Drosophila melanogaster: one gene and its partners. The protein of the gene in region 2 interacts with the protein of the main gene of each other region in a pairwise test. Each region holds a gene or a part of one and is shown on either strand. Other genes may lie near its edges.

Evidence for each region.
Region 1: the proteins of Taf12L (region 2) and tbrd-3 interact in a two-hybrid assay, tested with the Drosophila melanogaster proteins (one study listed by BioGRID).
Region 3: the proteins of Taf12L (region 2) and tbrd-1 interact in a two-hybrid assay, tested with the Drosophila melanogaster proteins (one study listed by BioGRID).

Annotation. Positions count from the first base shown.
Region 1 is NT_033778.4:23,326,239-23,329,420, forward strand, and holds tbrd-3 (testis-specifically expressed bromodomain containing protein-3), read right to left. Parts: upstream 1,344-3,182; 5' UTR 1,319-1,343; coding exon 512-1,318; 3' UTR 501-511; downstream 1-500. Other genes in the region: CG9861 (uncharacterized protein), read left to right, coding at 1-165, 224-475.
Region 2 is NT_033779.5:4,699,736-4,703,791, forward strand, and holds Taf12L (TBP-associated factor 30kD subunit alpha-2), read right to left. Parts: upstream 1,751-4,056; 5' UTR 1,734-1,750; coding exon 1,542-1,733; intron 1,482-1,541; coding exon 1,257-1,481; 3' UTR 1,100-1,256; downstream 1-1,099.
Region 3 is NT_033777.3:23,891,097-23,895,548, reverse strand, and holds tbrd-1 (testis-specifically expressed bromodomain containing protein-1), read left to right. Parts: upstream 1-1,988; 5' UTR 1,989-2,198; intron 2,199-2,259; 5' UTR 2,260-2,296; coding exon 2,297-3,838; 3' UTR 3,839-3,952; downstream 3,953-4,452. Other genes in the region: sba (six-banded), read left to right, coding at 52-541.

The sequences.
Region 1 (3,182 bases), on a different chromosome or scaffold from region 2:
ACCTACAGCCAGAAGGAGCTCGAGGAGAGTATAGCCGAGTCGAGCAGGATATTCGAGCTGGTCACCATCCTCCAGAGCAGTCCCGCCAGTCCCGATCTTATGGGCATTGATCGCCTGCCCAGATCCAAGGAGAACTTTAACTTCTATAAGCAGATTAAGAATACGGTATATATATATATATATATGTACATATATTTTACTATACTAAAACTATATTTTTCAGGCTGCCCTGGCTAAGCAAACATATCACGATCAGTTGAATGCCCGCTACCTAAGCATCGTGAGCTCCGCCTGGTACGCCATGGGCAACTATCTGGTGCCCGGAGGACCTCCTCGGAAGACCTTTTTCGCTTACATAGCTTCCAATCCGCTGGAGATCATGCGTAACAAGACGTGGAATGGGGATTTCCGGAACTACCGCTCCATGCGCGACAAGAGAAAGGAGCAGGAGAAGCTTTTGGGCAAAAAGGACTAGATTACAATAAATTAAAACTCTTTTTCAATCTGAAACTCAATTATATTTGGGCTTGGTGCGGGCCACTCTTTTGCCGGTGAACCCCTTGCTGGCCAAATAATCACGGATGCCGCGTTTGGTGTGCACCTTCAGTTTGCAGATGTCGAACTCCAGCTCCTTGTTGCAGTACTCGGCGCCCTCCATGCGTTGAATGAAATGGATGACGTGGAGCAGCACCTCGCCGTCCAGCTGCTGAATCTTGGCGTGCAGATCAAGGTCCTCCTCGGTTGTAAAGGGCTCCTGCTGCTCCGAAGTTTCCAAAGTTGCCGGCGGAGTCCAATCGGGGGTCGGAGTACATTCGGTGGTTGGAGTACATGAGGGGGGCGCACCCATTATGGAGGGGGACACCTCCGAGCCGTTCACCTCGTCCTCCGGCGATGATGAGTCCGATTCATCCGAGGAGCTCTCTTCCTCGGCACGCACTTTACTGCCGCTGGAGCAGATGTAGAGCTGCACCTGGGAGTACATCTCCTCAAAGATGATCTGCAGCTGTTTGGCCATGTGGTAGCACAGGTGATCGGGATTCGTGTACAGATAGGTGTTGTAGAAAATCAGCCTTATGTCTTTGGCGAAATCCGCGGCACTGAGATAGCAACCCGTATTCAAACGATGCCTCACGGTGGACAGATCCATGGGTTCCCGGACAATCTCATGGTAATCGTGGAGGCCCAGCAGTTGCGGATCCAGTGGCTCGTAGAAAACCCAAGCAATATTCTTATAGGTACTGGAAAACAACCTTTTAATAATCACCTTGCAGGCATTAATTTCCGGCGAGGACCGTTCAGTTTCTTGTTTTGCAGCCATTTCAGAAAAATATCTTCGATATCGACTATCGGAAAATTCTATTATAATTTCTATCGTTTTGACAACTTGAACGCAATACAACTGACAATATTCACACTCCGGGTTGCCCTGTACGATGATATTTTTAGCTTATGAAAACTTTTAGGATTGCCACCTCAATCCGAGCAGAAAAGTCAATCCACAAATGCGGTTTGGGGCAACAAACAAATTCAGTTAATTATGCAAGTGGCTCCGGCCAGGAAAGTATTTCCATACATTTTGTGTGGGAGTGCGGTCCTTTGTGGGAATGCTCTGCCTCAATCCTGAAGCTATGATGGTTAATCTAATTCCGAGACCCGTACAAACAGTCCTTTTTTCGGTAAACGTATTTAAAATCCCCATCGAGCTGTGGGGGCGAAAATATTTATGGTCAACCGCTGACGTTTGCTATTTTAGAGTGCCGAAATATTTCGTTAGCATAAAAGTTTTGTTAGGACACACAATATACATCATTTTTGGGCAAATATTTGCAGGGCTTTCATTTGGGCAGTCAACAAGTTGGGTTTACAAAAGTTAAATCGAAATCCTGTTTAAAGTCACTCTGTTAAGTTGGCTTCCACAGGCATGAGGGGAAATCCTGTTCCTGTGGCTCTCTCCCTCTGTTAGCTTGCGATCCACAACTGAGAGCAACCGATTTACGGAGACCTTCATTTTCTCGCTGTTAACTTACCTGCCACAAAATGTTGCAAATTGGGTGGCAATCGGACCAGGTCTTGGCCACATCTTGGGGCGCCTCTTCAGTCTGCTGTTGGGCCTTTGGGGGAATGGTCCTGCGAATGGGTCAATTGGGATTGCACTCCACTGACCCACTTGCGAATGGGGATTCACCTCTGGGCATCATCTGGTTCGGATGTTGACCTTCAACCCCAAGTTTGGAGACTTTACACATAGAGTTTGCGAAACCGAAAGAAAAAGAGATTAATCTTCAAAGTATATTTAAAATATATATAATCAAAAATACCAAATAACAATATAGATAAAGTTATACCCTATATCTGTCATATATCCACTTTTTCGCAAGATCATTCGCTTTGGAGGCATCTAGACCTAGAATAAATTGATATGAGTGATATTTTTATGCATATGTGTAGCTGAGAGCCCTTAGCACACGATTCCCTTTGATCTTGTCGATATGTCAGCGGGGCAGAACTTTACTTCGCATTTCACGGCAAACATTCCGCTCTCTATTGCCGATTTCCAGATAAAAATCTTGTTCGTTTTTCACATAAGTAAAACTGCGACACTCAATCAGTTGGCAGATGAAATTATACACCCAGAGACTGGGCCAGGTGCTAAAAGGATCGCCAGGGGGACGCAAAGGAAACGTGTGAGGCTGTCAGTGGCAAGCACATCCCTTTCCCCCAAACCCACTTGCCTCGCACCTGCGAACGAATCCCTACCTGGCCATCCCGCATCCCATTGGAACCGGGCAATATATGGATAAATATAAAAAAAAGGGCGGCAATATGAAAGCCCTGCAGAAATGGAAAGAAGGGAAGAACCAGCAGACGAGGACGCCGAGGAGATATGAGAAATGTACATTTGGACAGGCTACACACGCTGCCCTCGCACGGCACAGCGATGGAGAGGGGGCTATTCGAGCGAAAGAGACGGCGACAGCCAGTCAGATGTCAAACATTCTTTTGACACTTTGTCATAGCATCTCCCGGTGACACTTGTCAGCAGTCGGATTTCGCATTTCGGTGGAATGGCTGTGCCGCAGTTGATTTATACTGCCATGCATATGATATATATGTGTGTAAATATATACCTATAGGTATGTACGCGATTGTATCTTAATAGCATTTACTTATGCACCGCCCGA
Region 2 (4,056 bases):
AGTATTCTTTATTCTTGAGGCAGCACCAAATAAAAAAAAAATATGAGAAAAAATCGCTCTGAAATTTCCGCCTCGGTCTTATCCTTTATTTTGAGCAAAGGACCTGAAAAGGAACCCAGTGCCCGTTCATGTGTGTAAATGGGAGCATGTGAGTGTTTTTCAGCCACTGTGTGAGTGTGTGGCATTATGCGCCCTGGCATTTTTATGGCACTTTAACTTTATGTTGAGTAATTCCCGGCTGAAGGGCGAGAGTCAAGTCCTCGGGAAAGTGTGGCCGAGACCATGATGACCGCTTTGCAGGGGCTATTGAATGTGAGTCCGGCTCTTGACAGCGGCCATTGAATTTATTAATTGCTTAATCATGATGATCCGGTTTGCAATTTATCACCAGGCGTGCACCTTTTCTCATTGATACCTCAATGGGTATTCACAATTATGTTCAATAAAATTCTTTCGTCAGCTAACAAATTTGTATTAAACACGAGTTTTGTGTATTCTTTAAATTCACGATGAAACCATATTTTGGCAAAACACGTTTTTCAGTCTAAAAGGAGGCCTTTTTTTTATCATAAAACTTAAAATAATTGTCCAAATATGGAATGCCATACCTCGTTGAGCTTGTATTTTATCCCCAAATCGATTGGCATTCAAACTTGGCAATTTTAATTTTTTGCCAATTTTTGCAAAATTTGATGATGGTATAAAAAATGCAAAAACTGACCCAAAAATAAAATTTTTTTTATTGACCAAAAAGTAATAGCAATTGTTGCTATTGGTAATTAGGTGCAGAAAACAGTTATTCCTGTACTTATCTGACTATTTTTAGGCGAGTTGTGAAGAAAATACCACTCTTAAATATTGCGTTTTTGCCAAAAGAGACCTTTTTGATTTTTCGCCCAAATATATTCAGTTTTTTCATCATAAATCTTAAAACAATTGTCCAAATATGGAATGCCATACCTCGTTTAGCTTGTATTTTATCCCCAAATCAATTGGCATTCCAATTTGGAAATTTTAATTTTTTGCCAATTTTTGCAAATTTTGATGATGGTACCCCTTATAAAAAATGCAAAACTGACCCAAAAATAAAATTTTTTTTATTGACCAAAAAGTAATTGCACTGGTTAACATTGGTAATTAGGTGCAGAAAACAATTATTCTTGTTGCCTTTCTGACAGTTTTAAACCAAGTTATTCATACATTTTATTCATTCCACAATTTTCAAATTCTACATTATTTTTCCCTTTATTGGACATTTATTCAATTGGGAACTCCATGTTGAACTCCCGCTTGAGGATGAACTTCAGGTCCAGCACGCTAACGTCGCTCTTTCGATACTTGGCCAACTTAACTATGCGCATGGATATGTCGTTAACAAAGGCATCGGCTATTCTGGCCATCATATCGCAACCTTGATCGTCCAGCGATGAATTTGCATCGATTTTCTGCACAAATTGCAGCATGTTGGTCTTGGAGATAATCTGATAGGGGGAAAAGTACGGATCGATTAATGCGTCCTAATTGGGGAAGTCGTTACGTACATCGTAGCTTCCGCCAGGGACAGACTGGCTCTCAATTACGCTAGCTGGCTCCTTCTCCACGGAGCTGGTGTCTATGCTGGTGTCACTGGAGCGGCTCGAGGATCTGGTCGAAGAGTGGCTCTCGTTATCCGACGATTTATCGCTGTCATCGAAATTGAGGGCAAAGGACCAAGGTTCCATGTTACTATCCATGATTCAATTAATTTAATGTCCTTTCCCGTTAATGCCACATGCACTAGGTAAGAAAGTGGCTTGAACTGGTTGGAAATTATAGGAACATAAGGTGTGAGCTAATGCATACTTTTCGGGTCCTGTGTCTTTCTTCAAAAAGCAAAAAGTTTTTTCTTGGTGTCGTGGGACATTACACTTTCTCTCAATTTTTTACCCGGCAATAGTTTGGATCGGGAAAACCCAGCTGGGCTTTGCAGCCTCAACTCTTCGCCCTTGGCCTGCCATAAATAACCAGTTTAAGTCGCAAGCTCTGCAGCTGAAAACGATTTCCATTGTTGCCGCAGCGTTTACCCTTTCCGCTGCGGCTTTTCCTTCACGGTTTTTCCGCCGTCTTCTGCTTTTGATTTATGTTCCGACTGGGCTGTGCGCTTTTCACTTCTCATGCGCCAGCGCCGTCTAAATAAATATCAAAAAGCAACAAATTGTGGCCGTGCCGTAAACGACCTTTGCCCCGGAATAAGAAGCCAGGCCAGGCGACAAGCGCGTCGTCATGGCTTAATTTTATGCCAGGTGAGTACTGGCAAGGCCAGTCAAAACAACAGCACACACGTGCCCAGGTGTCCTGCCAGCCTATTATGCCGTTTGTTCTTTTTGCAAACCCTTAATGCACAGTGGGAATTTCGCTTCAGCGAAGCACCGCGCAAATTTAAGGCCACCTTGGGAGCTTCGGGTTTCAGAATTCAGGCTGCAACTTAAGCCAACTCGGAAAACTGATTTAAACGTGCGGCTATAATTTATATGCCTAGTGAGGGGCTTAAACGTAAATAATCTTAATTTAAACACCATTGAAAAAGGAAGCTCTTCTTAATATTCACATCTACTTCTAATGGAAAAAACATGATCTTGTATATTGTAATTAATAATAACTAATATTCAAATTTAAGATGCTTAAACCGGTGCCACAGTGCCCGTTTTTGTCATTCTAAAATGGTGTGCCATGTGCCTTTGCTGCGCTCCTGCCACTTTGGAGGTGCTCCTCAGTGTCCTCGGCTTAATAAAGTCGCCTACTTAAAGCGAGCGACAATGACATTGTGCGTATGTTGCCAGTCGTCGTCGGTGGAAAGGGATTGGTATGATGGGGTGGCCAGGTCGCCCCTTCGGCCATGTGTCACACATCCGCATCCGGTGTTTGGCATTGGCATTAGGCTTCCTCTTTCTACCTCCCACCGCCGACTGTCGTTTGTCGTTTCCGGCATGCGACTCTTTTATATTGCCGCTTCTATTTGCTGTGTGCACTTTTCTGCCCCTGTCCGCTCATTTCTGCCTTCTCTGGCTGATTTCTGTTTCATATTTTGCTCGCTGGCCTTATGCATAGTGTAAGGCAGCAAAAAACGGCCGACGTTTAGCTTTAAGTGTGCTGAGTGCCATAAATTTCACTTTGTCAGGGTCTTTAATCGCCCAAGCCCCAATCAGGCAGTCATTGTGGGGACTTGAAGAGGACTTGGCTGGTTCGGAAAGGTTAATTGTCATCTAAGTCTTATGGCGAATATATATATTTTACACATTTTCTTTATTCTAAATTTAATCAACATGCTTGTTCCCTTCCTTTAATAAAACCACGACTCAAAAAGAAGTTGTTTCAGCCTTCATGTTGCGTTCTAATGGCACATATCATATCCGTAACGAGAATGCCAGTCAGTGCCTGTATATGAAGTGCTAATTTGCTGTCGTGCTCACATAAAAAATGACAGCCTTAGTTGCCAAAATGTTTGAATTAATCACACATTTGTCAAAATTATTCAAATGTCTTTGCGGCGCGAGAGAAAGTGAATGAGTGTGTGTGTGGGCATGAATAGTTAATACGCATGTGGGGGCTACGCCCGGTTCCGCCCCCTCAGTTTTAGCCGCAGAATGGTGTCTGTGTAATAAGGCTAATGAGTTTCTGCCATGTCTGGCAGAGTGTCGAGACTGAGGGGCTAATTCTCAGCCAGTCAGCATGTTCTATGCACTCGCAGTTACTGGCTGGCTGCCATTTGGAATGGTTTTATTTCACATGATTATGACATTCTGTTGTTCAGGATTTCCCACACACAAATGAAACAGCCACGCATTCTTAGGCCCCGTTTTATTAACGGAGGATGTACTTTTTCGCCTCCGCAGTGGCTGTGCCAGATATTGCGTATACGCCACAGTGGCAGATGCGAAATTAATTTAAATCGGGCCCTCAGCGCACAGACTATTAAACAGAACTCGATCTGCAACAGATTTGCGTTAATGTTTCATAAATGCAAAAAGCAACACATTTAAATTCCTTCTCCATTTAAGTTTTTAATTACACTTAGCC
Region 3 (4,452 bases), on a different chromosome or scaffold from region 2:
AACCAACCAAAAACTCAACCACATATACACACTCACCATGCGACCACAAAGGAGCCGCAAACTGAACTCGCAGCTCGAGCGGGCCATACAAGAAGCAATGACTGAGTTGGATAACATTTCAGCCTCCTCGACACCCGCAGCCACATCCTCGTCATCCGCAACCATCTCTGCTGTTCCCGCATCAGCAGGACCAGCTGTAATTGGCGGACAACAGCAGTATCAGCAGCAGCAGCAGCAGCAACAGCAGCAGCAATCGCCCTCTTCAACGAACAACAAAATAAATGGACTCGCGCGGAGCAAGCGCCAGGCCAACACAAGTGGGGCCAGCATGGTGCTGACCACCAGTACGGCGGCCACATTGAGTGGCCTCTTCAATCAGCAGCGAGCCAAGCCCATACGCATTGCTCCGGCTCCACCGGTGGCCACAACGGGCACAGGCAACATTGGGACGATAGCAGCAGCTGGAGCTGCAGCAGCTTCAACTGGAACCGGGACAGCGACAACATCGGCCCGTTCCGAGATCCTGAAGCTGGCCAAATGACCAGCGCTGTCGACGTTATCGTCGACAGTGAGCACAGCCAGCTACACCCTCGTTATCGGGCATAAGTAGTGGGCAGCAGGAGGATACATACCGCCAGGCCATATATATAGAGTTATCCATACATATGTGACGATACGAGTATAGAGTTTAGTGTTAGGTGTCAGGCCTCAGCTTTGGAGTTTGTTGTTTTGTATTCTTTGACAGACTCCCCGCTTAGTTGCGTCGCTGGGCGGCGCGCGCCACACTTTCGAAATAGACAATAAAACAGCAAGATGATGTTAATGAAAATCAAGTTACAAAGAGCAGTTCTAACAATTAGCGATAGGTTTTTGGCTTCATAGACAGCGCCTCGGCGCAAATTTGCGTTGTTTTGTATATAGTAAGCACCAAAAGCTACCAAGATGTTTCGTATTAAGTATTTATTTATTGCATATAGATCCTTGGTTTTTATAGGTTTTGTTTTCGTTGCAATTTATAGACCTACCGATTATTTGTATAAATAGGTAACCTAAGCTGATACTTAGCCACTAAGTTTAAAGAACATCCACAACAATTACATTTGCCTTGTCAAGCAAATGATATCAAATCAAAAACAGCTACTGATTTTCATTTATTGTGATTGCACAAATTGTTTTTTAAACTCTAGAAGAACAAATTATTTATGTCAAACACAAAAAGGTAAAAATCATGAGAAAATTAGGAAGGGTGGAAAAAAATTATATTTATAAATTGTTATTATTTATTTAGTTGAAACTATTGTAAAATTATAATTGTAAAACAAAAATGAAATCACACTTAGCGGAAACACACGGAGCAAATAAAAATTTAAAAAACAAGATAACTCTTTGATTCATGGCCCGCTTGACCCAATCTCTAAAGAAATACACCCTTGTATACAAACTGGGAATGTTCGGAGTTCCACACGCGATTCCCACTGAAGTTATTCCCATGACTTGATACTAGCATCCGATCCCGATGTGACGAACCAGCAGAGGACCTCCCGAGTCACCATTGCATGTGTCCTTATGGTCCGGAGATCCAACACACAACTGGGACTCCGCCTTATAGCCTTCCGGCACATCCTCGTTTGCATCCAACCGTAACTTGTAAGTTGGTAAGTTGTACCAAAGACACTAGAATAATAGAATAGAATTATTCTAGTGTCTTTGGTTGTACTTACACATCTGAGTAGAAGCAGTGAGTAGCCGTTAAAACCACCTGATAACTTATCAAGGTGCCACCACAAAACCACTTCGTTTGATTCCCACTAGAGCTGTGATGATCCAGCCGAGCAACCATGGGAAACTTTTTTTTGGCATATCTGCGGTGGCAACAACTACCAAGGTCCCTGAAGTTGCACCTTAGAAAGGAGTATTATCACTCATACTAGACGATTGCTAGCTATCGAATGTAAGCTCACTGTGAATGTCACAAATTTTGACAGACCCAACGTAGCACAAAAAAGTCAGTGACAAAATCCGTCTGGTCATTTTTTATTTTCTACTACTCCCAACGGAGACTTACATACAATAAATGTAAATCACATCACCATAGACTCTAGTGTCAAGAGGTAATTATTAGTGTTTGACGAAAAGAAGTTCAGTAAAGTTCTGTATTCCGAGCCGAAAGGAGCTGTGAATTTTGAGTTGTTCAAAAAGTAAGCATTTGAAATAGTTCACATTCTTCCTAAATACCAAAAAAAAAAAAAACTGCTTTAGGCTAATATTAGGAGTTGGGTGACCTTACAAACCAGCAATGAATGAACTGCAGTCGAATAGCAACCAGCCTCCGCCGCGCAATGAGCCGTATCTGCAGCCGGTGAATGGCATCGTGCAACCGCCGGTGATTCCGCCACCGAATCGTCCTGGGCGAAGGACAAACATCCTAGAAGAGCTCAAGTCCGTGCTGAATTGCTTATGGCGCAATCGCTTCTCGTATCACTTTCGCCATCCCGTCGATTCTGTGAGCCTGGGTGTGCCCGACTACCATGCGGTGGTCAAGCATCCGATGGACTTGAGTACAATTAGGAAGCGACTGCACAACAAATACTACTGGCAGGCGAGCGAGGCTCTGGAGGATTTCAAGCTGATATTCGATAACTGCTTGTTGTACAATTTGGAGGGCTCACCGGTTTATCAGGCAGGGAAGCTTCTAATGGAGGCCTTTTACATGCGAATGGAGTCCATTGATTTGAGCACGGAGGTGGAACTAAAGCCGAAGTCGGAAAAGCGCAAGAGAAAGGCTACTGAATCATTGGATCAAGCCTCGACTTCGTTCTCAGCACCTCGAGCATCTAACAATTATTCTAGACAGTGGCTCTCGAGTAGTTCCTCATGGCTCTGTCCCCCACCGATGCCTGGCGGGGTGTCGTCATTTAATCCTTCATTCCGAAATTTCGTGGGTCCCAGCTTGATCCCATCTTTTATGCCCGATTCCTTGGTGAATCCCATGCAATCTATGCATCCAATGTCATCAATGATGAATCCGATATTCAAGAATAATTGGGAGACAAATGAAGCAATGGATCCACCGCCCTCAGAGCCAATTTCCTATCGTCCCTTGGATTCCTTGGCAGCACCCTTACCGTCCCCTCCAATGGAACCCATGACTTTGCCTTGGCCAACCCCAGCACCAGTTGAATCTCCAGCTTCATCGCCTCCTCCGGCTCCCAATCCACCCATTATCATCTGCTACAAGTCTCTCGACCGAATGATTGAAAAAAGCCACTCAGATCATCTTCTGAAGTCGATGGTAAAGCGAAAGCGCAAGCAGGTTACATGGGCATTTAATCAGGCTGACTACTGGCGAAGGTACTCCCAGAATCCGGACTACGACCACGATCGCGAAGAGAAACTCGATTGGAAGATACTACAGGAGCGCTTGGACTCCGATAACTTTGAGAGCTTTGATGGATTCGTGAGCTCTGTACGAAAGATGTTCCAGAACGCATTGCGTTGCTTTCCGGAAGATGGATTGGTCAAGGTTTCGGTGAAGAAAACCAATGAGATCTTTGAGAAAAGGCTGCCCAAGTACAGGGAGTTAATTGCCACGGCCAAGGAAAAGGGGCGTCAACTGGTGGCCAGCAGGGAACAAGATTTTCGTGACTCACAAAACCTGCTCATTAAACAAGAAAACGCTAATAAGAATTTCAAAGGATGGGTTCCAAAGCCATTTATTATTAAAACGGAGTCCCTGTTTGTGCAAGAACAGCGAGTGTACAAAATGGAGCCCCAGGATGTACAAGAATTTTCACCTGGTACGGAGCCGCTGGATGACCAAACTTATGATAGCGATTAAAGTGTGTAGAATTCTACCACGGAAATGAAAAAAAATGAAAATGCAAATTATTATAATTATTATTCATAAAGAATTGTTATTAGCCTAAAATATGATTCTAATTACGAGCTACCGACATTCTCATAGTTTAATTATACCTGTATTACTAGATGCGTTGAAAAGTATGGAACAGGCAGAAGGAAGCGATTGCGATCATATACATTTGTCTATACATTTTTGATCAGGATCAATAGCCGAGTCGATCTGGCCATGTCCGTCTGTATTGATCTCATTTTGCCACGCCCACACTTTTGAAAAATGCTTAGATTTTTCTTCGTGCAAAAAAAAACACTAGCCACGCGCCTCCTTTTGCTACAATACGCCCAAAACGGTCACGACTATTTTATTCCCCAGTATCTATCGATATCCCAGAAAAATGATGAAATGTTCCCTTTGGCATTCCCACTAGCTGAGTAACGGGTATCTGATAGTCGGGGAACTCGACTATACCATTTTCTATTGTTTTTAAATTCAAAATAAAACAGTCAAGCACCAAGGTGCCACCTCTCGGTTGACATTGCAACTACGCAGAGCTAAGGTGACCAGTCGTCTTGCAATCTGGCAGCCCTATAACA